Linked DNA regions of Xenopus tropicalis. The protein of the gene in region 2 interacts with the protein of the main gene of each other region in a pairwise test. Links are inferred from orthologs where the notes say so. Each region holds a gene or a part of one and is shown on either strand. Other genes may lie near its edges.

Evidence for each region.
Region 1: the proteins of fam114a1 (region 2) and rab2b interact in binary tests that used the Homo sapiens proteins (3 or more experiments, as listed by UniProt). The two-hybrid records come from large-scale screens. The link is inferred for Xenopus tropicalis from reciprocal best matches to the Homo sapiens genes FAM114A1 and RAB2B.

The regions. Positions count from the first base shown.
Region 1 is NC_030677.2:141,992,660-141,996,754, reverse strand, and holds the start of rab2b (ras-related protein Rab-2B), read right to left. Parts: upstream 2,838-4,095; 5' UTR 2,765-2,837; coding exon 2,719-2,764; intron 1-2,718. Other genes in the region: tox4 (TOX high mobility group box family member 4), read left to right, coding at 3,380-3,387. UniProt on the Homo sapiens protein: The small GTPases Rab are key regulators of intracellular membrane trafficking, from the formation of transport vesicles to their fusion with membranes. Rabs cycle between active GTP-bound and inactive GDP-bound states.
Region 2 is NC_030677.2:35,807,873-35,812,162, reverse strand, and holds the start of fam114a1 (protein NOXP20), read right to left. Parts: upstream 2,872-4,290; 5' UTR 2,772-2,871; intron 1-2,771. UniProt on the Homo sapiens protein: May play a role in neuronal cell development.

The sequences.
Region 1 (4,095 bases), about 110 Mb from region 2:
ATTTATAACACTGAACCAGATTATATTAAAAAGCAAAATTGTATTGTACCGATATGTGCTCAACGGGTCGAAACCAGAGGAAATGCACTTCGTGCATTATAACATTTTATATATGTACACATTACACAAACAGTTAGCAAGCAAACATTGTTCTATACCCTGAAAAGATGATGCCTCCTTCCATATCAAACAATAAATGACCTCAAAGAGGTGCCTACTGTGCATGCATTATTGATTTAAACTGAAGCAGGCGCAGTGAGCATGCCCAGTATAGGTCTGCATAATCTGCTAAAGAAGGAGTGCTCAATAAGGGAAAGGGGGCAGAGTTTTATGCAAGACAAGGCAGTCGGTAAAGGGATACAGTTCAGCTGCTTGTAATAGAGCAACAAAATAAATCTGCATGCAGAGCGAAAGGTATGTTATTCTGGGGGCTGTAATTTTAGAGGCTATGACATAAAGCTACTTGTCACAGCTACAAATCACCAGAAAATACCCTGCCATAGACAATACTGAAAATTTTCTCTGCTAAAACACACGTAGAGACAATTATCAGTATTGCCTATATTGTAGCCACGCCAAATAGCTGGCTAAAAGTAGCTCTGTGGGTCACTGCCCTAACAGAGTGTGACACTGAGCTGTATCCAGTTTGGATTTACCACCCAACTGGCATTCAGCAAAATAAATATATCTGCAAACAAATTACTATTATTATTTTACTTTGGGTGGTAATAGATTAGAACTATAGTTTTCTCCACTTCTAATTACCTGCTAGCAGGTAGCATTCACTCATCTGCTGTTGTAAAGCAAACATCTATACCTGCAGGAAACATTGTACCTGCTATTACATTAACCTCTTTAGTCTTCAGCTACAGTGTATCACCTGGCAGGCATGAAGTTGTGGTTGTTCTCAGAATTAATAGCTGCATGAAGCTGCTGTTTCAGTTACTTCTAATATGGCTGCATTGAGGAGGCCTTCTAAGGATTTACTCCAGCTGAGAGGCCAGCTCACAGATATTGAGTTCCTGTTTGCCTTGCTGCTTTTACCTAGCTGCCTGAAGGTTCAATACACCACTATAAAACTGACTGGTTAATAAGCACACAGAAAATCAAACTTTCCAGTTTAGTATTTCACCTAACTCTCTCCCTACTAACCATATTCCTCAACTTTAGATTAGGAAAACATTTCTAACAACCCCATTTGCCCACCAACCAAAACTAACGCCCCTGCTTATTGCACTTCACCTTAGTAACACACGTTACAAACCCCTTTATTGTCTTATGCACAGCCTATTTAATTAAAATGTCATACTTTCTTCCTATAAAAAAAATTAATTTCACAGAACCATCATGGAGGCTTATAGTCCCTGGTACAATATCTGTATCTCTCCTTGTATCTCAGGCCACTGGTTCCCTCAGTCTTTACCAGGTTTTTAATAGCATCATCACTCCCTTTGTCTGAAATTTACCTTGGCTTTTGTGCACTGTTTTTATTTTTTGGAGGGGTGGAAGATTTCCTAAACACTTGAAAATCACTGCAGCTATCACATTCATCTATGTACTTATTTGATTGCATGCAAATATGTAATAAGGGTAGATATGGGGGAATAGCAAAGAGATATAAAAATCAGATATGCTAAAAGCATCATTTTTTTACTTTTCTGCAGTACCATGCACTAGGTTATTATACAGTAAGGAGGCCTTAGTCTGCTACACCACAGATTAAGGAGAACCTGGAGATACTACTATACATGCACATAGCGTAAAATAATTTCATTGCCACTTATAAAAACTAAAGACAGTGATTAAAGAGAAAATCCACAAAACTGTTTTTACAAAATGAAAGGAGTTGTAATTCCAAGCATTACCTCAACCTATATGGATTAAAAGATTACATTTGCAAATAACATCAAAACCAGTGAAATCACTACTGAAGGCAATATGTGTTTATCCTTTTCTGTTCTCTGATTCTTATTCCTGCAACCATGTAGCAGAGGTGAGTTCCCCTCCAGGGGTGTTAATCAGCTGGCTTCTGCAATCAGGCCAGCAAGGCAGAAAGAGTTGGATAATACTGCTTTCATAAGCTACTATTTAAAACCATACAAAAAAAGTATTCTATGTTTATTGAAAAGCTGCATTGCATTTTCTGTCTTTATTCAAAACAAAAACAGTTTTTTTTCGAGTTCACCTTTAAATTATTATTTAGCCAACCTATCATGTGTTACTCTGTTTCTATAAAGTTAAACTGTAGGAAATACGGCTCTTAATGTAATAAAATGCATTGTATTGCATTATCACTAACATGAAATATGTGCACTCTTTCTGATTATTCATGGAGAAAATATGGGGCTCTGGCAACTCAGCTTTAAAACTACCCATCACTGTTATAAGTGATACACAAATTGCAATGTGCCTCTATAATATTTAATGATGTGGCTCCTAACATTACCTGTATAAATACAAAGATATATACATATACACAAATCTGTAATTGCATACAAATTTGAAAAACATCTGCAAAACAGAACACCAAGAGCTGCTATTTAAAAATAATATATTATTGTACATAAACTCGGAATATTCTCATTTTATGCTAGCATATGCATGATTTTATATTTAATACACAAAATAAAATTAAAAAGCATCAAGGTTACAAGAGCATAATAATAGCACCCAATATTCGTAAACCGATAGATAAAATCATTTAAAATACGTACGCACCTGTATCACCAATAATGATATACTTGAAGAGGTAGGCATACGACATGATGGCAATCGTCAGAGCCACCAAGGCAGGTGATTACGGGGAGGAGGCTTCCTTTGAACTGCCTTACTCTAACTAGAGCTCCCAGAGAGACGTTCTTGCCACGCAGTCTCATCTCTATTGCTTCCGGAAAAGACTCTCTATCTGGTGTACGGCTTGTAGCGACGTTCTTTACTAAGCCGGATGTTCGCTCTTTTGTATTCGATACGTGTAGCATTCTAATGAATAGTCTCTATGGCTGCCTCACATCCTATTGTTATACTATAGGAGGAATGAGTAGCAGCATTACTGTACCAATATGGCTTCGCTGCTTTTACCGGAAGCGGATGTCTCGCCATCTTTGTAGAGGCGGGGAAGTGTGCTTGAAAAGAAGAAGAGTCTCAGGCCGTGAAAATGGAGGTGAGTTGGGTAAATTACGTATTTTATTGTGTTAGTTTCGGTTTTAACGCGGTATACAGCTAGTTTGATTCCGTATGCGTGTTGGTGGTGATTTTCAAAACGCAGATTATGTGGGCCATTAGAGCAGGTTAATGAAGTGGCGAGAAGGGAACTATAGTTCCTGCGGATCAAACACAGAAAACGTGTAGCATTTAAAGATCGTACAATGTAGTTGTTATTATGTCGCGGTGCGTCAAGTATCTCTAATCCCCTGGTGCCAATACTTATAGTTTCTTCAGAACGTGTTGTGTTGGGGGTTTCGTTTCAGTGGTAACAGGTTCCTGTCAATTGAATATTTATATTGGCTATGGGGTTGTGGATAAGTAATGTGTTTCTTTGAGAGTGATGTGCCTGATAGAAGACTTGCATTCCTTGTACTGTGAATTGAAATTACTATTATTATTTGTATCTGTGGTGAAACAGCTTGTTTACTGCCAGCATTAACATGGAAGCTTCTATTTGTTATTGTCTGTGTCACTAATAGTAAAATGTTATAGAGATGAATGCTGTTATTCAGAAGCCAGAGAAGGGTCATTTGTGGTTTATTTACTTTTATATGGCAAGATGCTGTAATAGATCAGTTACATGTTCTTTCTTCACTCACTGGACAGTGGTTGTTTGAGTTTCTTAGTTCATGCATGAGATCTAACTTGGCCAGAGCGCCCCTTAGTTCATAATAAGGTTACAGATACATGAAAGCAAAGGAGCCCCCCCCCTCTGCAGCAGCAGCCTCAGAAGTGTTTGCATAATTAGCAGCAATGTTTCTGTGATTAATAAAATATTGCTTTTATATAATTATTGAATGCTGTAACAGTTGTCATTGTAACTTGTTTTAATAGGAGGCAGTGCAGCATTTTATTTCACAGGAAAATTCTTTGGTCTTTTCATACAAGCAG
Region 2 (4,290 bases):
TCTGGAGCAGGACAGAGAATTGAAACTTGGTACTCCTGGTCCCTCCCACTGTATATAAGGCTTGTCTCCACCCTCATTCCTCAGTTCTTTGTCCTGCCTCGGAGGTGAAGGACTGATTCTATATTCACATATTTTTATTTTCTTTTCTTTTCCTTCCTTTTTTCTTTATTTTTTATTATTGTCGATCAAAAAGAGGATATCACAAGGCACGGCTGTCTTACTGGATTCAATTCCAGGACTAGACCAGCTTACTACAAGGGGGACTCAGAAGATCCACAGGAGGATCTCTAAAGCACTAGGGTACGCAGAGCTGCCCACAAAGTGCGGATTACTGTGCAGTGTTGGGGACACTGGACACGCAGAGCTGTCCCTGAAGTGTCACCCCTCCCCCCCCAGCACACGGGAGAGCAAAGAAGGAAGGAACACCTTCCTTATCAACAAGCGACTGAGGACACAAACTTGTGTCTCCAGGTTCTAACACAACACGGCTGGCTGATCAATCACCGAAAAACTTCCCTCACGCCAAGTCAGACGATCCTATTCCTGGGCCTCATTTTCGACTCCAGGGCACAGAGGGTAATAATCCTACCCCAAGACAAGATCGAACACATTAGTCACGACAACTCAGGCCTTCTGGGTCAGGAAAAGGAACTTGGCAGAGGACTGCCTACGCCTTCTGGGCCTCATGGTATCAACCCTGGAGGCCATACCCTTCACCAGATTTCACCTCAGACCTCTACAGTGAAATTTCCTGCAGCATTGGAACAGGAACCACCAAGATCTACAGCAGGAGATACCTATCTCGCAGACGACCAAGGACAGCCTTCTCTGGTGGGTGAGAGATGACAATCTTCGACAGGGAAGGAGCTGGGCAAACACCACCTGAGAGGTAGTGACCACAAACGCCAGCCTCAGGGGCTGGGGGGCAGTACACAAAAACCTTAGACTCCAGGGGACATGGTCCAAGGAGGAGAGTCACTTACCCATCAACGTGTTAGAGCTTCGAGCAATTGCCCTAGAACTGGAGAACTGGTCAACAATTCTACAATCTCGGTCAATCCGAGTACAGCCTGACAATGCAACTGCAGTAGCATATATCAACAAACAAGGGGGCACTCACAGCAAACTAGCCATGCAGGAGGCCTCCAGAATAGTGACCTGGGCGGAACAGATGGTACCGAACATCTCAGCAGTATACATACCAGGGGTACTGAATTGGGAAGCGGACTACCTGAGCAGAACAACCATCGACCAGGGAGAATGGTCCCTCAACAAGGATGTATTCCAATAACTAACTCACAGGTGGGGGACCCCTGAGATAGATATGTTGGCATCAAAACACAATGCAAAGCTTCCACTCTATTGCGCCAGAACAAGGGACCCAGGAGCAGCGCTGGTGGATGTGCTGGTGGTACCATGGAACTTCAGCATGGTATACGCGTTTCCACCACTAGCCATCTTACCCAGAGTAATCAGGAGACTGAAGCAATCCAACACAGTCACAATACTGATAGCCCCAGACTGGCCGAACAGAGTATGGTATACAGTTGTTGTCAAATTATCGATTGCCACACCTTGGAGATTACCTCTACTACCCGATCTGTAAACTCAAGGGCCAATAAAACATCCCAACCTGAGGATGCTTCGCCTAACTGCGTGGCTCTTGAAACCGATTGGTGGCGTCAACAGGGATTTTCACAGATCGCCATAGACATCTTCTTACAAGCCCGCAAGCAATCTACCACTAGGGTATACCATAGGGTCTGGAGGACTTTCTTAACCTGGTGCAGGAAAAGGGCCACGCCTTGGAGAGATATCTCCACAGTTGAGGTGGTGGAATTTCTAACGGACGGCTTCCAAAAGGGATTGGGCTTACGCACTCTAAAAACACAAGCTTAGGCGATTACAGCGCTGACACACTTCAAGTGGGCCGAAGATCCTATGGTCCAACAGTTCATCAGAGGGGTAACCAGAGTACGACCCCCCGCTAAGGGAACCCCTTGCAACATGGAGCTTACCATTAGTCCTAGCCGCACTCCAACAATCACCCTTTGAACCCCTGTCGATGTGTGAGCTTAAGTGGCTCTCATTTAAAGTCACTTTCTTAATAACGATCACATCAGCAAAACGGGTATCCGAGATGGCGGCACTGTCCTGCAGGGAACCACGACAAGGCGGTCCTTAGAACCACACCAATATTTTTACCAAAGGTGGTGACCGAACGCCACATGAACCAAGACATCATACTGCCTTCCTTCTGCCCGAGCCCATCCAACGAGAAGGAAAAACTACTCCATAAGCTGGATGTTGTCCAGGCTATCCGCATTTACCTAAAGAGATCGGCTGACTACAGACAGTCTGATAGTCTCCTGATATCATATGCAACGGCATACAGAGGAAAAGCCGTATCTAAAAGAACTATAGCTCGTTGGCTAGTTGAGACTATTAATATGGCTTATGATCGCAGAAACATGCCCAGACCATACTCAGTGAAAGCCCACTCTACACTGGCACTGCAGAACATGGCAACCGCAGACCAGATCTGCCGAGCAGCCACTTGGGTTTCACCAAACACCTTCATCAAGTTCTACAAGTTAAATGTTTATGCCTCACAGCCGGCCACGTTTGGTCGGAAAGTCCTACAGGCTGTTTTGGCATAGTGCCAATAAAACTGAAGTTTTACCCACCCAACTAGAGGGACAGCTTTGGGACATCCCCTAATGTCTGCACTGACAGGAGGGCTGCTAGAGAAAAGCAGATTTTGTACTCACCGGAAAATCCTTTTTTAGTAGGCCCGAACTGTCAGTGCAGTAAGTCCCACCCAGGCTGATTTAGTATGGGCACCGGGACCTCTTTCTCGCTATCTTTCTACCTTATGTCTCTTAGCCTTCCTTCTATCTGTACTGTCTCCACCGACCGAGCTTACCAACAGAACTGAGGAATGAGGGTGGAGACGAGCCTTATATACAGTGGGAGGGACCAGGAGTACCAAGTTTCAATTCTCTGTCCTGCCTCCAGAGGTGATTCAAGACAAAACCCCTAACTTCTAACAGTTCGGGCCTATGAGAAAAGGATTTTCCGGTGAGTACAAAATCTCTTTTTTGAAGACAATCAAAAAGTATATGTTTTAATAAAAAATAAACAGAAAGTTAGTGTTACACATTTTTCAAAGTCCTTACCTAAACATTAAATAATTTTTTCATACATCCTATTATCTAGAATGTCCTTCAACTTATTTCTAAACATTATAGAAAACTGATTTTATACTTGATCCCAGTCTTTTACAACAACAAGAGAAAAAGAAGGTATATAATGAGATTCTCACTGTCATTTAACTCTCTGAACTCCCTGTCTACAAGTACATCTATCGTAAATTAGAAGATGGAGGTTCTCATTATCACTCTTTAATGATACTCATTCCAGGGGGTGTGTAAAATACAATTTGCCTTTTTGAATTTGAAAACTTTTTTTAATTAAAAGATTAGGCAGAATGCATTTTTACTACAACTTATATTTATTTGACTCTATATTGCTAAATTAACTATCTACTTTAAACAGCCAGAAAGAAGTGTCAACATATAGTATATGAGCCCTTCTGCCACCCTAGCTTTGCATTCCTTGTTGAAAATACAAACTCAGAAAAATCTGAAAAGAAAAATGAATGCTCAGATGAAAAGATTACTGGTAAACTCAGAAATGTAGCTGCAAATGAAAAGCAGAACTGAACCTTTGAGGCCAGTTAGGTGGCAGACAAGACATAACTGGAAATGTTTTTCTTCTTCCTAATTGCATTCTCTTAGATTAGAACCAACCACAAACTTTTACACTGCTAATTTTAACAGCTTTCAATGAAGAAAGACTGTTTTGTGTGACCTGTGAGAACTGGACTGTATTGTAATAACTTACTTACGATATTTTAATTATGACATTTACTGTTATCAACTGAATGATGAACTGTAAGGCACCCCAAGAATGCATGTTTGTGTTGCTCTCCAAATTTATTTTACATTTGAATATGGCTCACAGATTAAAAAGTTTGGGGACCCCTGGTCTAAGGTAAGCGATTATAATCAATGGGGGTGCCTAATTTTTATCTTGCAGTAATCTTGCTGTGTTTTTCTCAAAGTCGTTTTGCTAGTCATCCAACTGGCATTCTGCTAGTTGGATGACTAGACAGCAAGTCTAGTTAACTTGACTTATTACTACAAGTTATAGCATGACCTGGAAGAATAATAAACTTCACAGGCATAGTGCCTAATGTTCTATCTCCTTTAATTATACAAGGATGCA